Oryzias latipes: one gene and its partner. The protein of the gene in region 1 purifies or fractionates together with the protein of each later gene. This does not show direct contact. Links are inferred from orthologs where the notes say so. Each region holds a gene or a part of one and is shown on either strand. Other genes may lie near its edges. The genes, in order: retreg1 and map1lc3a.

Region 1 (10,760 bases):
GATTCAGACCTGTACATAACAGTGATTGTTCAAAGTAACAAACCTTAATTTTTTCACTAAGGCGGGAAAATGTGTGTCATGATTTCAGGGTCTACTTCAAAGGACATTTTCCAATTTTCCAAAGCAACCACTCTTTACTAAATACTATAAATGTATTCAGCTTTAGATAAACTTTCATTCTGTGCAGCAAGAGCCAGCCATTTTTATTTTCTGCAAATGTTCTTAAATATTTATCTAACACGAATTGACAAACGTTTAACTGAAATGTAAGCTGTACTGAAGCACTCGACCACAAGAGGGCGTCCTTCACAAAGGTACCTTGCTCTAGCATTTTTTACGTCTTCGTGTGACAAAAGTTTTTATCAGTTTCTATGATTAACAATGACAGAAAAATCTCTCTGTTTCACAGATCTGAACTAGGCAGACTCACAATACTGTCACGGATCTTATTAAAAAGTTTGATGCAGACATTAGCCACGTCCTGCTTTTGATTCGAATTTTTTGAACTTTCTGACTTTTTTACTGTCCAAGAAAAAATGAATAATAATATCAGCAAGTACAGTAGATAAAATTCATAAACTCCAAAGCTTTATAAGATGTTTTTGAGTAAATAAAGTTAGATCACAGCATAATTCCCATGTTCTGCTTTTCTGATTGCATCTAATATATGGTGTAGATCCTGAAAATGCATATACCAGTATCATAATTAGATGCTGAATCAATTATCCAAGGTTTAACACAGAACATAGAGTTTTTCTCTGCAAAAAAAAAAAAGTTTTGAACATTTTATCTTAACATTGGAGACACAAAAAGTAAATATTTTTGTTTTTTCCGAAAGAAATTACAACTTTAACATGTTATCAGCATACAGGATTATGCTGACTACGTGACTGGATATATCAGCACTTGTGTGGAGAACATTGTGCCCACCATCCAAGTCAGGAAGTTTCCTAATCAGAAGCCCTGCGGATAAACAGCCATGTACGTCACATGCTGCGTGCTCGCTCCACTGCATTTACATCTGGCAATGAGTCCGAGTACAAAGCTGCGAAGTACGGCCTGAGGAAGGCCATCACAGCAGCAAAGAGGCAGTACAGAGAGAAGCTGGATGGCTTCTATTCTACTGCTGACTCTGGCCGCATGTGGAGGGGCCTACAGCACATCACGGACTACAGAAGCAGCACCAGCAACATCAGTGCTGCAGACAGCCTGCCCGACGAGCTCAATGCATTCTACACCCGCTTTGAGACGCCCACCCCCCACACGGAGGGACCATTATACTCTTGGACAATTACATACAATACATCCCATCATCTGTGACTGGCTCCTGGACTTTTTGACTGGCAGGCCTCAGTCTGTCAGAATAGGGAACAGGACTTCAGCCAGCATCATCTCTAACATTGGCACACCACAGGGCTGTGTTCTCAGCCCAATCCTCTACACCCTGTTCACCCATGACTGTGTGGCCTCTCACAAGGACAACATCATCCTGAAGTTCGCCGACGACACCGCTGTGATAGGACGCATCACTGGCGGGGACGAAGCAGCCTACAGGAGGGAGGTGGCCAGTCTGGTGACATGGTGTGAGGACAACAACCTCACCCTCAACACAGACAAGACAAAGGAGATGATAGTGGACATGAGGAAGGAGAAGAGGAACCCTCATCAGCCGCTTCTTATCCGAGGTCTGGAAGTGGAGAGGGTGAGCAGCTTCAGATATCTGGGGGTCCACCTCAGCCAGGACCTCACCTGGACACTAAACACGTCACAGCTGGTGAAGAAAGCTCATCAGCGGCTGTACTTTCTGAGGAGGCTGAGGAGGTTCGGCATGTCCCCGAAGATCCTCAGCAACTTCTACAGCTGCATGGTTGAGTCCATCCTGACCAGCTGCATCACAGTGTGGTACGGCAGCTCTACCGCCATGGACCGCAAACGCCTGCAGAGAGTGGTAAAGACTGCGTCCAAGATCACCAGGACTCCTCTTCCCTCGCTGCAGAGCATATACAAACGCAGGGTCTGCAGGAGAGCTGCCTCCATCATCAAGGACCCCACCCACCCGCAACGAGGACTGTTCACTCTCCTCCCCTCAGGACGGAGGTACAGGAGTGTGAAGTGCAGGACCACCAGATTTAGGAACTCTTTCTTTCCCTCTGCCATCAGACTCCTTAACAGCTGACTGGAGTCTGGAAAAACAAACTGCACCTTTGCTTATCCTAATTGTTGCTATTGTCACTGTCACTTTTGCACATTTGCACTTTTACAACAGCCACTCGACATCTTGTGTTTTTGTGTGTATGATGTGAGTGAATTGTTTTTGTTTCCTCTATACTTTTGGGCATTCGGAGCAGACAGCAAAGAAATAATTTCATTGTGCAGGGAAACCCGTTTCTTTACTGTGCATATGATAATAAACCCTTTGAATCTTGAATCTTATCTGGCGAAATCTGAACTGAAAACCTTGAAGGCTTTAAGAAATATTATTTGTGACACTGTTGGTCCTAGATTATGAAAAAAACACCTTCAAAGTTTTCCTTTTTAATTGTGATCATTTGTTAATTTGGATTAATTTAAAAAATATAATAATAATAATAAAACTCCACAATAAAGTGTCATTGATGTATTTTTCATAAAATGTGTTTAAAAAAAAAGAAAAAAGTTACATTTTATCTCATAAAGCGAAAAACATTAAGATGCATTTCGATTTTTTTTATTGCAATTTTCAATATTTCCTTTAGCATAAGATCTAATAGATTTCTTTTTGGTTGTTGTGTTTTTCAGACGTGAGTAGAGTCTTATTCTGTGTGGTTTTAAACGCTCTACGTGGATTGGTTGGCCTTGAGTACCTGTGATCAGACGTCTCAGCCTACAAACACACTACATCTGTGAAACCAGTCCTCTGAAGTTTTCTTTTTATAAACCAGATAATATAAAGACAATGGATTTTCTAACAAGTGTGACCATGTTGCCCCCATTACTCCTGCATGTCCTCTGTGACCCCCTTCCCCTGCATTTTCATGTCAATGGCGTCTGAGGAGTTTGGAGAAGAATCCAGAGGATGCTGGCTTTTCAGACTCCATCTGTGTTTCCCCTGTGGACTTTAGTTTCTCCTCTCCCAGCCCCAGCTCCCCTTCCAGTTGCTCTAACTCTGACTGGTCCAACAACTCAAAGTCCTCCACCTCGCTGTCGGACTCCTCCATCAACTCCAGCAGCCGCTCTGACTGTGGGAGTCTGGATGGTTCAGGGTCTCCGGTGAAGGCACAGACGGCAGCTTCTATTCTCTCCTGGATGGCAGCTGTGACTGCAGCTGTCAGAACATCTTCTGCCATCTGGTTGACCAACTCCAGGGTTTTGTCTGCGTGTTGATCCATGCCAGAAAAAAGTGCACGCTTTGACGGCTGTTGAGGTGGAGCACATGGAAGGCTGAGGCTGAGGTCATCGTCGTCTCCATTTGTGGTGGTGCCATTATCGAGTGAGGGGAAATCAGCGAGGCCGCCGGTGAAGGCTTCTTCTTTGTCCAGATCTGCGGTTTGAAAGAGCATCAAGGTGAGGCGCAAACAAAAAGCTTTCAGAAAGGTGGTAAAAACCAAACGCACCCTCTGAGTTCTCCGTCTGCGGCGTGTGTCCCTCTGACAAGGTAAAGGTACCGTTGTCCGTCCACGTCACGTCGGACACCTCCGTGTCTGAGACGCACATTTCCTTACAAACTGTGGAGTCGAGCTGCCGCGAAAATATGAGGAGAAAACAAAAAGAATCTCATTTGTTTGATCAGGATTTCTGTCATTTTGAGTTGAGCATAGAAAATTCTGGTCCACCAAAGTTATCTGTTGTGTTTCAGCTTCATAATCAGGATCTCATACGTGAGTGATATCATTGAGTTATAAACTAGCAGGACGGAGTGTAAACTGACAGCTCTCAGGTAAGGGTGATGGGAAGGATGGTGGGGTTGCTTGCACCAACAGTCCCGCTCAGAACTCAGTGTCAAACTTCTAATAAACTACCGCCGCTCTGCAAAAACTAGAAAAACGACAAAGGTTTTCTGGCTAAAATCGACATAATCATAATTAAAAAAGCACTGGGAATGCTTTTACAATAGATCAAAAGATGGTTGGAGTTCGGCTTTAAAACCCTTCTAACTGTGATACAACACTCTAGATGGCGCTCTCCAGGTTGGTGGGATGTCATTTCAATAGTGAAATTATTTCTGTTTTCTAACATAAGCAAAAAAAACGACCACATTTTGTGACTGTACATGTGTTCATTTTTGTCCCTCCATTGACAGACATTAAGTTTCCATAGTGACACGTCGTGAGATGTGGGTCAGATTTGTTTCTCATCATCCTTCCGAGCGAAAGTAATTCTATTTGGATAACCTATAAATGGAGGAAGGAAACGGTGATGAAGGCTTGGACGTTTTAAGCTGAAGTCTGGGCATTAGGATGAGAGCCATTAGCTGTGACCCTGTGAGTCAACAGAAACAGTATTAGATTAAAGGACATGAATTTCAAACCTTGGGGAACATGAGGGAGAGGTCCGACTCAACGCCGTCTTTCTCAGTCTGAGCCTGAATGAGTCTCTTCACTGGATGGAGGCAAACAAGAAAAAACAAACTAATTCAGTTTTCTGGTGGAACATTCAATAAGTCGTGGAGAAATTGTAGCTCATGAACAACACAAATCCAAACTTGCATTTGGTACTAATTGTAATTTTTTAAAAGTTACTTTCCAGTAGAGGGCAGTCTTTGAGTTTTTTTAATAAAAGTTTAGCAGGATTCACTGTGTGATCCGTATTTGAAATGCTCCAAGAAGCGCCCAAAAACCTCAAAGCTGTCTCTCAGATTCTACAAGCCCCGGTTAGCTTGACACATCAAACACAGATGAGAAAAATATTGTCTTGAAAAAGGCTAGGCAGACATTTGAACTCTAGTATACAAATAGCATGCACAGGAATAAAAAACAAAAACATTGTTTTACTCCGATCTTCCTTGATTTTTTGGAAAATGTCTCCAATGCCGAAGTCCAGCTTCTGCAGAACTGGCTCCAGCCACAAACTGACATCATGAGACGAAACCAGGGGCCACAGGAAGACACCCAGCACTTCACAGACACAACAACACAGAGGAGGGACACGTTAATTCACACAGCAGCTGCTGAAAGTCCCATGCTTTCACACTGCAGAAGGGTATCTGCATCTAATGTGTAACATGTAACTCCAGACACAACAAACTGGTGAACGTGATCGTCTACCTGCAGGATCTCTGCGGACTCACCTAGAATGTACGAGATAACAATCCCTGGAATGTAGCGTCCTAAGACAGCAAAGAAGGTGCACAGACTGCAAACCAGCAAACAGAACTGCAAGGGGAGGAAAAGCAAACAGGAGTGAGACAAGTCTCCTCTGATAGATCAATGCTGGTTATCCCAAAACAGCTGTTCACGGAGCACAAATCCAGCCCAGGTAAAAGTGGATGATGAAGATGCAGAGCAGAAATATAAACTGTCTTTTGCTTTGATCTTCTTAAAAGGTTAAATCCTTTAAAGGAAACAAAATTAATGAGGCCAGGTAGAATGTAGGTAGAAGGTAGAATTAAAAGTGAGGTACTGTTTGTCCATTTTTATGTTTAGATTTTTTTTTAAAAAGTCCGTAATGTATTTAAATGGATCCAATTTAGTGATCTGCAAAATCTGCTTTTCAACGACAAAAAAATCTAATAGAAATAGAAATAGTTTCTAAAAAACACAGAAACCATTAAATAGTATTTTTTCTTTTGGTGTTGGATTTTTCAATTACTATGTTGATCAAATAAATCTTTGTGTTGGAAAACTGAAACGTTCACACTTGATCCATCTGTTGTTAAACGTGAGCGACATAATGCTTCACTTAGGCCTTCTAACTCTCCCTGGTCCTGAATCTGACACAATCAGCTGGAAAATCTCCCAGGAAGCCCTGGACTGGAGCCTCCCGTCTGTACGTTTCCTCCTCACCTTTCCTGGGTTTTGCTGCTTAAAGGCCGACGTTTCCTGGAGGAAGATCTTCAGGGAGTCGCTGAACTGCAGTCCGCTCGCAGTTCGACTGTCCTCGCCCGGGTCGATGATCTCCCAACTGAAGACAAAACAGAGATGCAGAAAATGACCCAAATGACATGACAACAACCTTTTTTGTTGCAAAGATGAATGCTTTAAATCCATACAGCTGTTTCCAGTGGTGCCAAACACATCAGTGAAAGCTACTAAAGGATCAGCTGGGATTTAACTTTTTGCTTGCTCCTTGAACTGTCTTATTGTGGATTCACTTTGTTCTTTCCTGTCAAAAGAAAGTCAAATAAGTATTTCAAAGCAATAACAAGATTTTTTCGGTTTTGTAAAGGACATATCTGAAAAAGAAAATGCATGTGAAACTACAGCAAACTACCCCTGCTGAAGTGCAGACTATTGTCTTCTTTCTGTTTGGGTTTGGTAAAAACTCTTGTGCAGGATCCGTCCTCTATTGCTGATCCAGAATGCTGCGTGGGTCACACCAATGTTTCCATCTCTGCTTCCTGCTGCAGCACATTTTCACCTTGGGACTCTTTCTTACACAGCAGTCCAACAGTTCCTGATCAGCTAAAGGTGCCAACAACCAAAGAGGTCCACAATTGTCCTGTTTGTGTAGCTGTTGTTGAAATGTTTAACACAATCTTAACAGATCTTTCCAGCTACATTCACACCGCCCTCAGCAATGCGCTTTCAAGCAACCACTTCCAATAAAGTCTATGTATTCGTACATAAATGTGCATTTTGGGCGTCCGCATTCAAAACTCGTGTGTAGCTATGCATTGCACTGTAAATATTTTTTTTAAATGCATTCAAATTTGCACGAATAATTCTGCATAACTGCAAGACTGCAAAAGGCAAAGTGTGTTATAGTTGGGGACCACTGTAAACCGCATGAAACCAGGTGGGATTTGGATTTAGGTTCTGCTACCTTCCCTCTTTTTTTAAAAAAAAAGGGAAATTCTAATGACAAATTGAATTAAGATTGTGGGTTGAGACTCTGGTTCCTTTTTCTCTCATCAATTAGATGGGATTTATTTCTTTTCTGTTCTTTAGGTCAGCATATAGATGACCCTTTGCCAAAGACAGAGGCTCTCCTATAAGTTCTGACTTCTGAGGGTTTTCTAATAATAAAACCAAGAGAGAAAAAAGGTAAATTAAGATTTTAACATGGATTTCTACCAGCAATAGTGTTGAGCTCATCTGTATGACAAAAGGCAGAGTAAACACATCCAATAATGCATTTGGGAAGAGAACAACCCTATTGGGTCTCTCAGGACTCATTGGAAACAGTTTTTGAGTTGTTGCATGAATAAAGAAAAAAAAATGTTATTTTTTTTTCATAAATGTGGTGTCACAGACTTTTCTTTCCCATGAAACACCTGTTTATCTCAACTACATGATTCCCACTATGTTTTTTACAAATGTATTGGAATATTACAAAATAACTATAGACTAATGTCACAAACATTTGAGCTTTTGTCACATCACAGCGAAACAACGTGGAAACTCATCAACTTTATTGTTTTAAATAAATGATGGTTAAAAACGTGAATCCTCGGAGATTGCAAACAAAAACAAATATGTCATCAAAAATATTCCTCTTAAAATTAACAATCACTTGTGGAATCATTAAATGGCTAAAATACTAAATGAATAGTTAATCAATGGTGGAAAAACTGTAGAACAAGTGATCTGTGGACAAATCTAAGGAAAAAAATCCAGATTCATTATATTTGTTTATCCCTCTGGCTGGCAGCTCTTAAGGAAAACTCAGGCCTTAACTAGGCGACTGCAAATTAACATTTGTTGGCAGCTGCTGAGAATAGAAACCTGCAGCATGGTTGCTAATCCAGGTCACACGAACAGCTGTTTAACTTCACATGAACATTTTTATTCCAAAAAAAACTGAAACTGCATGAAAAAAAAGCAAAACTTGAGTCCTGAAAATAATATAGATATAAGGCCCAGGGTTTAATTAATTTCAAGTGTTTATTGGTTTCTTTTTACATAAATTGGGGTTCCAGCTCTTGTTGCTGTTAACTCTTCAGTATATCCCATCAGGGGTCGCCACAGCAAATCCGCTTCACTGATTCACACAAGTTTGGCAGGGAGTTTTAAGCTGGATGTCCTTCTTACACGACTTAGTATTTTCTCCGGGCTAGGGACCGGCACAGGGAGATCCAGACTTGGGGCCCCCCTGTGCCTACACAGTTAGGCAGGAGCGTGAAAGGTCTTGCCTAAGGACCCACAGTGGATTAAGCTCATTGCACCATGGGAAGCAAACCCTGGTTTCCTGCGAGCCAGGGCTACATCCAACCAGCCAAGCCACAAAAGTATAATTTTTTTAAAGGAATTATGGAAATGAACACACATTTCACATTTCACAAAATCAGATGACTCAAACACAGCTAAATTCAACATGATGGATGTAAAAAGTAGGAGACGAGAAGGGATGAGAGCACAGAGGATCAACTATAGAACCAAAAATGTGGATTTAAGACACTACAGGTGATAAACATCTGGGATGACTGGTCACTTTAACTTGGAGGGACTTTAACTGGAAACAAAGAGCTGGACTAATTAAAATGAACACAAGATGAACTTAACACAGAACCTTAACTAAGAAATCAACAAAAAAAACTAAATTTTTAAAAACATTTGTGAGGAATCTGCATAAAACCCTGCTAGAATGTGGGTGGTGTATGCACTCCAAACAGAAGGTGGCAGTATGCTCTAAAAACCTTTTTTTATTTTTTTACTGGTTTACCATCTATGAATGGGTGACAAATGTCTTACAGGTCACTAAAAATTGACTTGAGTTGAAGTCTAATCTATATTTTTCACTATGGTTTGTCTTATTTAGCTCAATCTTTGCCATTTCCAATGTCTTTTTAATGCCGAATCATTTTGAGCAACTGTCATGTGACGGGGGGAGTCACTAGCTGACTTCATAGCTTTGAAGAATCGTGGTATGAATCCATTAAACCGTGTTTCTGTTTCAATTCTGCAAACAAACCCACTTGATTTCTACTAACAGCAGTCAAGCACAGGGCGGAAAATCAGTCAAGCATGGTGGGGGTACAACGTTCTCAGGTACAATACTTGGTGTGAATGCGCTACACGTTATGTTTAAAGGGCTTATATCATGCTTCTCTTAAGCTTTTTATACTAAACAGCATCCATGTATATGATGATATATTACCTTTGGAACACAAAATAAGACTTTTTTAAAATTAAATATTAGTTATTTTCATGAATTTCTTTCCTACCCGTAATTAAGACGACTGAATCTCTGAGGCTCCGCCTTTCCCTCCACGTGGGTGCCACCCATTTCATGACGTCAACCTAGAGCCGGCCTTAGCAGCGTGTCTGCGTCTCGCCCATGAAAACAAACAACATCCAAACTTTTTGAGAGGTGGATGTGCATATTGTGCAAAATGTAAGCGGTTCAGCCAAATACCACTAGCTCCATTGAGAAAGTGGGTGTGTCTGTTAACCTGGGGGCGGTGCTAGCAGCTAAGACTCTTCCTGGAAGGGGCTGTTCTCACTGGTCTACATCACAATGTGAGAATCCGCTCGTTTTTGTGGATTGGAAGGGGCTGGTATCAGAGCACAGGTTTTTAGAGGAATACTCAGAAATGTGTGAACGAATCAAAATACCACTTTGGGGTTTCTTTTCGTGAGGAATGAACATTATGAAACACTTAAAAGCACAAGAAATTGATTTTGCGTGATATAGTCCCTTTAAATTATCAAGTTGCAGTTTATCGTTTGGCTTTGGACTTTTTCAAATTGTTTTTCACTTTATTCTTATGGTAAATCTGGTCAAAGACTGAAGAAATTACTGACAGTAGCTTGTTTTTTAGCTTTCTAATATAAAAACTTTTCCCGAAAGGAAAATAAGGGGACCATGAAACACAGGTTACATTGTGCTGACTTTGCAACATGGTTAGGAAAAAAAAGACGGTGCTACTCCTTCAAACGGATGAGAGATCCTCAATCTGACAAGATTCCCAAAGAAAATGTTTGTATGTTTGTGCTTTGATCTTTGGGATTCATTCCTGACTGCTGAAGATGGTAGACAGATAGGACCAAATGAAACGGATGCAACAGTTGTGGGACTCAATTCTCTAGCCAACTTTCATAAGGAAAGACTGAATAAATCAAAAGGTTTTATTGTTAAAACCCACAAATGTTGCATATCTTAAGAAGAGGTTCTCTTAGTTTACATGAGTCACATGCTGTGTGTGCTCCATGAATACTTTGGATACTGAGAAGTGACTAGATCCTGTTTCATTACGCCACAGTGTCAAACAACACCATCGGTAACAACTTCCGCTAACTCTTCCCACTGGAAAAACTCGTCAGTCTAAGTGGGGAGGGCGTCAAAGGGCCAGCAGGAGCAGCTGTCGGGCAGACTTCACTTTTTACCCAATCAGTAATCTCAGAGACAACACTGGGGGCGGCATGTCTGAACCTCTAACAAGCCCGCTCATGTAAACATGGAGCAGACAGACAATGCCAGGAATGGCGCCAAAAACATCCTGCTTGCTTTAGATGGCGAGGCCGGCTCATGGAACGATGTTTACACACCTGTTCTAGTGGGCATTCACCAAAGCTAACCTGATTTGAATGCTAACAATGACCTGTTTGTGTAACGCACGCAGACTAAATCAGTCCCCGCTGATCAGAGCCAGCATGGATGCGTTTGAGCAACATGTGAAACTG
Region 2 (11,320 bases), on another chromosome or scaffold:
GAACATCAAGACTTCTACATGAAATAGTATAAATACAAGGCAAAACTGATGGAGAAAACGGGAGGATTGGAGTGCAGGACATTTTCAATGTTTTAAAAAGACAAGATTTAATTTAAAAAAAAGGAAACGTTAATACAGTCAATAAAGAATAATCTCCACAAACTCTTCATATTTGTTTTAATTCGTGTGCAAAAGAAGCTTCGTTTCGGCATTACATCCCGTTTCTTGAGCTCAACTCTGCTGCCATGAGCCCCAGAGGAGGCTGGACCTTTGCTTCTGCTGCCGCTCTGAAGACGCCAGACCGCAAAAGTCCAGGCGGTATGGATGGGATCCTGCTAACGGAACAAGCGGGATGCGTTCCAGGCATGGTGCCTGCTTTCCTGCACATCCTCATAGGCGCTGTGAGACATTTCCTTCTGAGACGTCCAGCAGCTGTGGAAGCGGTCAAACAAAAACTCCTGACGGGCTGCTGGGAGCAAAGCTGAGCATTATGGTAATCAGCAGGTTAGTGCAGCTCTTTAACCTGGTTGGTAAGTCTGTCTGGAGGGGGCTCACAGGTGAAGGCCAACCTGACAAATGACATGGAGTTGGAGCTCCTTCTGTGCCACAACTAAAGAACTAGCAAAACTACAACGTGACTTTACTCATCCTCTAGCTTTCTGATGTAATCTGTGCCCCATTTCAGAATAAAACCTGCACCTTCAGCCAAGGTTTGCATCAGCTTTTCAAAATAAGAACTCAAATCCGTGGGAAAGAACAGGAGGAAACTGAAGTGGGACTGTGGGACAGCAGACGGACGCACCTGTCCTCTGAGGTCTGGAGCGAGTTTTTCTGATAACTTCGGATTCTCAATAGGCCTGTAATAAAACACAGCTAAGAGGTGAGTGTTTGCCTGGGGCATTTGAACTGCACACCCCAACAAAAATCTGTCCACCCAACACGGGAGGATTTGCCACTGCCCCACCCCCTCCCTTCCTCCTTAGCATCCAAAGGTCTCCTGGGAGGCGTAGACCATGTAAAGGAAGCCGTCCTCGTCCCTCTCCTGCTCGTAGATCTCAGAGATGGGGGTGGACACGGACACCATGCTGTGCTGGTTGACCAGCAAGAAGGCGGCCTGAGTGGGGTTCAGCTGGAGCCGACGCCTGGGGTGGGGGCGAGATCGTAAGGCAAAAACATCTTTTCAGTCAATGGCTGTGTTTTTATTGACTAGGAAATTGCAGAAATTGGATTTGTGATAAATTTGTCTAATGGAAACAGGACAATTTAATAAAAAACTCACATTTTTTGGAAAAAGATTTTGCGCTCGGAGGAGGCGGTTTTTGAGGCAGATTGAAATTGAGATATTTTGCAAAACTGTAATGGAAACTTTTTTCCGAATTACTTGACCCACAACCGGATGGCAATGCGCCTCTTGGTGGGTAGTGGCGGCCTTGGACACTGCACAGCGGGCGCCACAAGAGGTCCCACAGCGTCACACAGCTCATCAAAAGTTGAGCGCGTCATGTGGAGTTTTTGGATCCACATCTCTAAAATCACCACCCACCATTTCCAAAAATGGCTTCATTTGTAGCCGCTCCTACGTTTAAGGAGCTCGCCGCTCCAAAGTCTGAATAAGACGCCAACGTCTCCTTTGATAGAGATGATGATGAGCGCTAGTGCCGTGGCAGAAATCTGAACGTATCTGCTGTAAATCAAAGCATTGTTCACATTCATCACCACATTTTTGAATAACTTATCGTGAGTTGGTTTGTAATTTTTCACGTAATCAGAGTTTAATAGAAACAGTGTAATTGCCAATTTTTTTCTTCTAGAATTTCAATAAAGTTTTGTGCATATGTGTCATGGAAACTTGGCTACAGATTGGTTGGTCTGCTGTTTTATCTCCAGTTACCTGGAGATTCAGGTGAGCAAATGCTGTGCATCATGGTTAATATGAAGTGATATTTATGCCACCACATTGCAAACAAAACGTTCTAAGTTGCAAAAAAAATATGAAATATTTGTTTTCAAAAAATAATTTTGAATTTACAGCACAAATGTTTTCACATGCGTTGTCTCATCTCGCTTTTTTCCTTATGACTTTGCTCTCATAAGTTTCAGTTTAGCGTGACAAAGCTGCCATCAAACAGCCTGCTGATTGGTCTAGATTCTAACTAATCAGGTGTCTCTGTCTTGTATTAAGTGCTTGGAGGAAGACGTGGACTTTGTATCGGTTCTGTTCGAAGGGGTTTCTGCCGTTTTCAACAATTCTGGCGCGTTTCTCTCAGAAGGAGCAGCAAAGCCACAAAAATGAAATAAAAACAGGGTTTAGCATTTCTTTCTTTTAGTGTAGCGACCATTTTGTTTAAAACCCCGTGGCAGAATAAAACGTCTGAACTCCAACTCCATGTCTTATTTTTATCAATTGATGTTGAAATATGAAGAGAAAGTAGCTTTTTTTATGAAAATTCTTTTCTTACAAAAGCAGTTTTTAAAAATAAGAAACTGAAAGATTTAACATAAAATGAACACAACACACATGCCTGTTGATTTAGCGTAATGTCAGCAGATAAACTTTACAGGTTATTTTACAGTTTCAGGAGATCCTCAGCCATAAATTCACAAATCTGAAAACAAATAAGATAATCAATGCTGTAAATCAGTGGTCCCCAACCACCGGGCCGTGGACCGGTACCGGGCCGCGGGAAATTTTGGCACCGGGACGCACAGAAAGAAAAAATAATTTCCATTTTATTGTTTTTTTTCGCAAAAACGTTTTATTTTGAAAATTGACTGGATTTTCTCTGTTACATCCGTCACATTTCACGCACGTCAAAGTCGCGACACCAAACATCACATGATACACCCCGCTAAAATTAAACCCAAACAACCAAAATGAGCAAAAAACAAACTTCTTTAGAAAGTTGCTTTGACAAGGGGAAACGGTCCAATGAAGAGACAGAAGAGGAACCTGCACCCGCTAAAAAAGGTAAATCTGCCTTTAACAGGCAGCGGTAAACGTGCCTTGCGTTGCACCTCTACTAGCTTGGTTTCATTTATCAAATCATGTTCTGGTTTTTGTACTTTAAGTGAGTAGGTCTGCACGATACATCGCAAATTTATCGTTATCGCAATACCCAGCTCTGCGATATCCATATCATTAATTGGCAAAAATCTGCAAAAATCACAATAAATTGTAAACCTTAAATGTGTTAAAACAATCTTATGGCAGCTTGAGGCATTTAAAGAATCAATTAAATCCCTTTATGCATTTGACCAATCGGATGTACGCCTTCATATTGTTGACCAATCAGGTGGAGGCCTATTCTGTTAGCTGTTTGTCACCTATGTTGACGAGGGTCATATAATTTTAAAACTGTTGGAATGAAATGGGAATGATGTTTTTGGTTATTTTGCCATTTGATTATGTACCGCAAATTATATCATTATCGCAATATTAATCTCTCATATCGCAAGTTTTCCTCATATCACGCAGCCCTATTAGTGAGTAAATCTCAATGAACCTCTTAGTGTATTACTCGCCGTTGCAGGTTAGAATGACACCCAATCATGGACTGATGTGTAGCACAGCACTGTTGGGTTTACTTCATGACTGAAACCAAGCTAGAAAGAATCCATATTAAAACGATAACTTTCAGTTTGATACTGTAAATATACACAAGCCAGGGATGGTGTACCGCAGGGCCCTGTGCTTTGTCTCATGCTTTTTCAGTTTTTGTACATTTGTTCGCTTCTCTGGTCCAGCTCTCCTGCTCTGTTCCCTTTTTTATGCTACGTTTCTGCAGTGGCAGACTAAACAAGCCTCTCTGTCATCCAAAGTTGAAGTTTAATGAAAGCAAACGAGGGACCAACCTGATTATTTTTACCAGCTCACTCATGTTGACATGGTCAGGTACCAGGAACTTGGTCTTGTCCAGAATGGGCAGCTGTTTCTCCCCCTTATACCGTTCAATGATCACCTGCAGACAAAGATAAGTTTGTCTGTCTTTTCTATATGTTGGGTACCCCCCTCCCCCACCAAACATGGAAACATAGGAGTTCTGCCACATGCTTTCCTAATGCATTAGCATGCTCAGAGAAATGTCCACATGGTAAAAGCTGGTCTTCAATGCATGCAGTGATGATCAAGTTAAAGGCAGCTTACAGGGATCTTGTTTGGGTGCTGCTCCCGGATCTGCTGCACCTCTTTGCACCGGTCAGCTGTGGGGAAACCAGACCCAGAAAAACATTGAAAGGTTCTGTATGTTAACTGCCTGAGTGTTCTGCAGTGCTAATGTGAAGGCTGTAATGGAGCAACTGGGCATCTTCTAAAACCACATGAAATTTGTTCTTGTCCTGTGCAGAAGGCGAGAAAACAAATCAGAGCTGAAGGCTTCTTGTATTGGACAGATGTTACTGTAACAATAGGAGGTTAGGAATCTTCTAACACACAAGGTGTATATTTGTATAAACTTATTTTGTATATGAAGCTAAACTTTACATTAAATATTTTTGCATACATCTCCTGCTGGACTGGATGGAAAAAAAGGAGAGAAAGAGGAAGAGGGATGTTAGAGATGGGGGACATGGGTACAAAAGAAAGGGGGGAAAATGGGGTTCAAGTAGTTGGAGGATGATAAAGACGTATGGGAGGGGGTAGAATCACAAAGCAACAAAAGTAAAAAAGGTTGAAGTGGAGGGCTGAGCTTTCCAGGAAAAATGGAAAGAGTTTTATTTGTTCATGGAGCTGAAACCTGAAAACCTGCATGCTTGGTATGCCATCAAAAGGTTGCAGTGCTCAACGAATATAACATTCAGCACCATTATGAGACTCAACATAAAAAAAGTTTCACTATTTGCAGTTAAGAAAAGAGAAGATTTACCAACTATTAGCTAGACTGAAAAAACAACCGTCTGCATTAACTGCAGCCGTGACGTCAGTGATAGAGCAGTGATAGACACCTTATTGCAGACAAGTTGGAGCAAACATCCAATCCATTTTTGGATTGTGAACTTATGGAAAATATGAAGGATGCAGAAGTGTTGTACCCCAAAAAGCAGTCTACCTTTGCCAACATGAGTCTGTCAAGGATTACGATTACACAACATCTCCGAGGAGACTTGGACGGCCAAATGAAGGAATCTAGTCATTTATTGTATTTTCAGTCACTGTTGATGAAAGCACCGACATCACAGATGAATAAAGTTGTGCATATTTATTAGAGGTGTTGAGCAGACCATCACAGCAGAGTTTCTTGAGTTGATGGACAAAACAACAGCTGATGACATAGTCAGCTCTCTAGTTACTGTGCTGGACAATGTTGGAGTGAACTGGTCACATGATGTCAGTCTGGTCACTGATGGCGCCCCATCAAAGCTCAGGAAGAAGGCAGGTGTTGCCACAAAATTCTGGCAGCAAACCAGGAAAAGACTCTTGGAAATTTCATTGTGTTTTGCACACTTGAATGACAGTAAATGTGTTGCTGCACAGGATTTAAATCCTGATATTGATGGATGGTTTCAGGAGAGAAAGGGAGGTTAACTCCAAATTGCTCACATATGTTTGCAAGTATGATTTAGTCTAATTTTTCCTTTATTTACACATTTAAATCTTAGGCAAGGTGTTTCTTTTTTTTCCGTAGCCCCTCTTGAGTTTATTATCAGGATTGCTTCAGTCTGTATAAAATTGAATCGACCATGTTTTTTTTAAGTGAAATGCATTTTGTTTTAGATCCCTTGGCCTCTGTCAATGAATCTGTAATAATAAGGGATTTGCCTCCTATGGTTAAGGCATTTTTTCCAACTAAGAAAAAAAACCACAAAGCTGTTATTTTGCCTTTATGTTACTGGTCTGGCCCACATGAGATCAGACGGCCCCCAAACCAAAATGAATTTGACACCTTGTTCCCTCTGTCCTTGTCTTTTGTATTCCTGGAGTTTTTCATTTATCATAGACATTGAGTACATGTGGATTAATTAGCTAGTGTTTCCTGGTGTCATTTAGAATGCTGCATTTCTTGTTTTTGAACCCCGGCAGAAATCAAACCTCACTTAAGGGTTCCTTTCCTGCTGCTGCAGTTTCACTTGTTCACATTAAAGATGGAGGCCAGAGGCTGAGTGCTGTCTGTGTGTGTTGTTAAAGAACGACAGAGTGCTGGAATGATGAGAGCAGCTTCTTCCATTACAATGACACGAGCACAAAAATGATTCCTAGAAAACAAATGTTTCAACCTTAACAAGTAACATGGATCTGGTTCTGCAGGGGGTTCTGCTCTTTCATTGAGATGGAGGTGTCCTCTAATGTTGTTATTGCTCAGTAGCTACAGCTGACTGTGGTTGCCAATTTGACTAAATTTGGATTTTGGTTCATGTTAGGCGATCCAATTGGATCTGATCCACTGACTTAAAGTGGATCCAGGACACCTTTAGCCAAAACGTCCACCAGTGTGACTCAGAGAGAAATACCTGCAGGTTCTGAACAGTGTAGGGGAAGTTTTCCAGATTCCTTGTGTTTCTTCAAGATAATCAAGTGTAAATTAAATATGTGTACAAACAAACAAGTAAACAAGAATGGATGTCCAATCTATTCACATTTTAGTTTCCTAAAGTTCAGTCCACTGTTGTTTTTCCACATCAAAATGATCCAAAGGGAACATTTTAAAAACATTCTACCACACTGTATGGTGACATGACTTTGTCTATATATGTTTATATTCAAAGTATTTTCTACACATAGGACTGTAATGATGGACTCATCAGTTTTTGCTGATGACATCACATGTATGTTGTGTTGTCTGCTGTGATGCACTTGGTCACTTTAAACCTTATAGTCAAATAAATCTACTGTACTTCAATCCAAATGGTAACGATATCAATTTATCTCATTTTGAATGTTTTCTATTTAAACATCTTGAGAATTGATCTTTTAATAATCCTCTACAGCAGGAACACGTGATAAGCAGCTTCTTGGTTGAAATGGCTGCCCCCGTTGGGCCTCAGCTAAAGTAATCTATTACTTTTAGATCGTTTCCTTGTTAGAGTACAGTAGTCCTGAGGTGGTCAGTGACCTTCTGCTGCCCCCCCACCACAGTACCGTTCCCCTGACCCCCAACAGAGAAGCACCGCCTGAACCTCCACGACCTGCGAGACCTCTGGAAGAACAGAAGGAGCTTCCGGTGTCACATGGCAGCATCCACGGTAAACGGGTCAAGCACTGACGGAACCGAGGTCCGGCTCGCAGTTTTTAATCTGCTATCGGAGGTCTGGCAGAACGGGAACAGGCCCAGAGTGACAAGAACCCAGCTGACCCACGAAAACCTGCAGAGGTCTCGCGCCGGTCCTGCCGACAGCGACGGAACCGGGCCGGCCATCCGCGGACACGGCGGCCCTGGCCTGCCCTGAGAAAGTCCGGTGGCGGACGGGCTGGCGGGGCCCACAGCGGCCGGTTCTTCTTACCGAAAGTCCTCCGCTGCTTGAAAGGCCTGTCGGACGGCATCTTTGTCGCCGTGGTGTCAGGTCCAGCCCGGTTAAGTCAGACGCTGCAAATCGGTTCGGCGCTCTTCTCTACAGGTCTTCTCAGCGGCGGCTCCGTCCGGGCAAACAAAGCCTCTGAACACAGACGGTGACGTCAGCAGCTACGTTTAAAGGGGACGTCCCCCATTTGCTCGGAACCAAACTGGTCCAGGTGTTGGAACCACTTCACTCCTTCATTCCATCAGCCAGACTTTGGGCTTCCTAACTGGACTGAGAAGCTGCCGTTCTCACCCGAACCAAACAGAAAACCCGATCTGCATGGAGCAAAAACGCTATAGGGGCAGGTCCCTCTGCGGTCCCTCTGCGGTCCCTCTGGGGGCCCTCTGGGGCCCCTCTGGGGCCCTCTGACCATCACAAGACTCCAAATGAAGATTCCAGGCTCAGACATCAAATGCTGGATTGCTGTCTCTTCTCCACAGATCATTTCTGTTTTGGAACAGTAGAATCTCTAGCTCACCCTGGAAAAAATGTGGATATTACATTATAAATATTTTTAAACTACTTAGATAAGATGCATTTCTTTTAAATGTTTATAGCACTATCCACTGCACATGGTGGCACAGTGGTCAGCACTCTTGCCTGACAGCAAGAAGGCCCCTGGTTCAAGTCCTGAAACAGAACATCAATGGGGACGTCTCTGCGTGGAGTTTGCATGTGTACCACTATGGAAGTGTTTCTGTAGCATAATTAAAAATAAAAGTCAATACCAGAAAAGCTTTTTCATTTTGAAAATGCAGCTGCATTTGTTGACTCAAAATTAAAATAAGCAATCCTCCAAAATGTTCTTTCTTTTCTTTTTTGCCCCGCCTCCCTCCTGCAAATGCTAACTAGAATTGAATTGGTCAGTTCAAGAGGGGCCCAAGTCCACAATTTTTCAAAATAGAGATTTTATTTTTTCTATGGTCTTCAAGGGAAAAGCTATCTGATTATGTGCAAAAAAAAGTCCCAAGTCCGTTGTTATGTATTGACTATGCTTGACATTTAAAATGCATTAAGTGCATTTTCCTGGACTTGGGCCTCTCTTGGATGGGTTTAGCTTTATCCCATAGATGGCAGCACTAGTTATCCAATATGGCAGCACCCCTGTTTAATTCAAGAAGGGTCCAAGTCCAGAGACTTTAGTTTGCTAGTCCTCTAAAATGATAAAAGTGAGGTGCTTCATATTATAGCATTTGTAAGCTATGAACTTGTGCTAAATCTGGGTAAAGTATTCATCATTTGGTGTAGCCTCCCTATAAGCTATGCAATTAAAATCATTTCCTGGAAAAACAAACCTCTTGGACTTGGGCCCCTTTTGAACTAACGGATTCAATTTAATATTGCGACACTTTTCGCACGGTGGATGTGAAAACGAAAATGCAATCCTCTCCTTGCATTTTTGCTTTAATTATGTCACAGATGTTAAAGTAGAAATGAAAAAGCATTTTGAAAGATTGATGTTTCATTTTAATTTTGAGTTATTTGATGCAGTTACATTGTGAAAATGAAAAAGCATTTCTGTTAGTCCATTTTAATTGTCAAATTAGACATTTCTAAATGAATTTTGCATCACATTTACCAGAGAACATTTTGTAAAGGAAATGTCAAAAACCGTTTCATTATCATTTTAATTAAGTGACAGAATGAGTTGTGTTGAAAAAGAAAAAGCGGTTTGGCAGATTGTGTTTTCATTTTAATTTGAGTCAACAAATACAGCTTCATTTTTAAAATGAAAAAGCATTTCTGGTTTTGAATTTTTTTTTAATCTTGCTACAGAAAAAACATGCTTCATAGGTTCATTGGGAACTCTAAATTGTCCATAGGTGTGAATGTGTGTGTGCATGTGTGTGTGATTGTGGCCCTGTGACAGACTGACAACCTGTCCAGGATGTCCCCTCCTTTGCCCGCAATTGGCCCGGATAGGCTCCAGCAGCCCGGTGAACCTGAAAGGATAAAATTAGAAGATTCGAATATGAATCAATGAATGAATGGTTATATAAATATTATCCACTAAATGTTTTTTTATCTCCCACAGATTTCAAAAGGATATCAATTTGAAATAGTCTTCTGGAAACCGTTACACATTCATTTAAATTCAAATTCAAATTAATTTTATTTATATAGCATCTTTCAAAGACAGCTCAAGGTGCTGTACATAAAAACAAAATCAAATGCAATAAAATATAATAAGATACGTTAAATTAGCCCCACACAATAAAATACACAAAGACAAATATCAGTGGAAAATAAATAAATAAATAAATAAATAAATAAATAAAGATAAACCAGAGAAACCAGAAGGCGCCGTCTGCCCTGTCCTCCTATTGGCAGGGGTGTCAGTATAAAACACAAACACCCCAGCCAAGGGTGAGAAAACACTCGTAAACAGTCTAATAAAATAAATGTGTTAAAATATCATAAAAAAAGTATACAAGTAAAATTCTAGATTAAACAGATATGTATATGATAAAATGTCATAAAATACAAGAATAAAAATTCTAGATTAAGCAAATAAAATGATAAAATTATGTGATAAAACATCATAAAACATAAAAAGATTGAAGAATATGATAAAATATCATAATTTAAGATCTGTTCATGTACCACAACATTTTGGACTGGTGTACTAAACTTGCTGGAAAAATATATTCTTCATTATGTTATTTTGTTTTGTTTTTCTTTGTTATAGGCATATTATCTTAGGTTGTTGTGTTTTTTTAATTGAAAACAAGAAGGCCTATTTACTCAATTTAATTTTTCTTCTAGCCAAATTCCATAAATGTAAATATACCTCCATGAAACCATCTTTACTTCTTTTCATTTGTGAAAACAAAAAAACTACAGTGACTTCTCAAAAATTCTACAAATTTAAAAGCTATTAAAACTTGAAATTTATTTAAAAATGTCATCTTAATAACTGGTGACACACTGAACGCTCTTCCATTTGGCGAAAGAAAGGCATTCTGTCTCTCCTCTGGACATGTCCCAGCCATCTCAGTCTGGCCTCTCTGACTTTATCTCCAAAGCCTCTAACATGTGCTGTCGCTCTGATGCACTCATTCCTGATCCTATCCAGGTCACTTCCAAAGAGAACCTCAGCATCTTCATATCTGCTGCCTCCAGCTCTGCTTCATGTATTTTCCTCATTGCCAGTGTCTCTAAGCCCACAACATGACTACTCTCACCAGTTTTCTACACCTTTACTTTCATTTTAGTTGAAACTCTTCACATCACACCTGAGACGTTTCTCCACCCATTCCAACCCACCTACACTCGCTTCTCCACTTCTTTTCCACATCTCCATTCCTCTGGACTGTTGACTCTAGATACTTCAAATCCTCCACCTTCTTTATCTCTTTTCCCTGTAACTTCACTCTTCCACTTGGGTTCCTCTCATTCACACACATGTGCTCCATCTTCCTGCAGATAACCTTCATTCCTCTCCTTTCCAGGGCAAACCTCCACCTCTCTAGCTTCTCCTCCACCTGTTCCCTGCTCGCGATCTTGGGTCTAAAGATGCATGGGCAAACTAAAAACTCAAGGGGGAGCTCTGGTTTTAAAAGTGAGGGCATTTTTTGTTACGTTTACTGACCCAGTGTAAAGTGGGAAATTAAAACGTTACAGAAGAAATGATGTGAAGATAGTTTCAAAAAAGGCAGTTGAACGAGTCAGAAGTCATGATTTAAATAGATCTATAGCAGGCGTGTCAAACTCATTTTCACTGAGGGCCACATCAGCATAGTGGTTGTCCTCAAAGGGCCAGATGTGACTTATTCATGTAACTAAATGTAATGAAAAATAAATGTAACTACTCCTTAATGTTAAATAA

The links.
Region 2: the proteins of retreg1 (region 1) and map1lc3a purify together in Homo sapiens (affinity purification with western blotting; 3 studies listed by BioGRID and IntAct, with this or other methods). This does not show direct contact. The link is inferred for Oryzias latipes from reciprocal best matches to the Homo sapiens genes RETREG1 and MAP1LC3A.

What each region holds. Positions count from the first base shown.
Region 1 is NC_019875.2:8,684,199-8,694,958, forward strand, and holds the end of retreg1 (reticulophagy regulator 1), read right to left. Parts: intron 6,100-10,760; coding exon 5,982-6,099; intron 5,352-5,981; coding exon 5,267-5,351; intron 5,094-5,266; coding exon 4,971-5,093; intron 4,579-4,970; coding exon 4,508-4,578; intron 3,718-4,507; coding exon 3,594-3,717; intron 3,521-3,593; coding exon 3,018-3,520; 3' UTR 2,692-3,017; downstream 1-2,691. UniProt on the Homo sapiens protein: Endoplasmic reticulum (ER)-anchored autophagy regulator which mediates ER delivery into lysosomes through sequestration into autophagosomes.
Region 2 is NC_019863.2:5,855,406-5,866,725, reverse strand, and holds the start of map1lc3a (microtubule-associated proteins 1A/1B light chain 3A), read right to left. Parts: upstream 7,609-11,320; 5' UTR 7,475-7,608; coding exon 7,435-7,474; intron 4,201-7,434; coding exon 4,145-4,200; intron 3,960-4,144; coding exon 3,853-3,959; intron 1,143-3,852; coding exon 980-1,142; 3' UTR 1-979. UniProt on the Homo sapiens protein: Ubiquitin-like modifier involved in formation of autophagosomal vacuoles (autophagosomes). While LC3s are involved in elongation of the phagophore membrane, the GABARAP/GATE-16 subfamily is essential for a later stage in autophagosome maturation.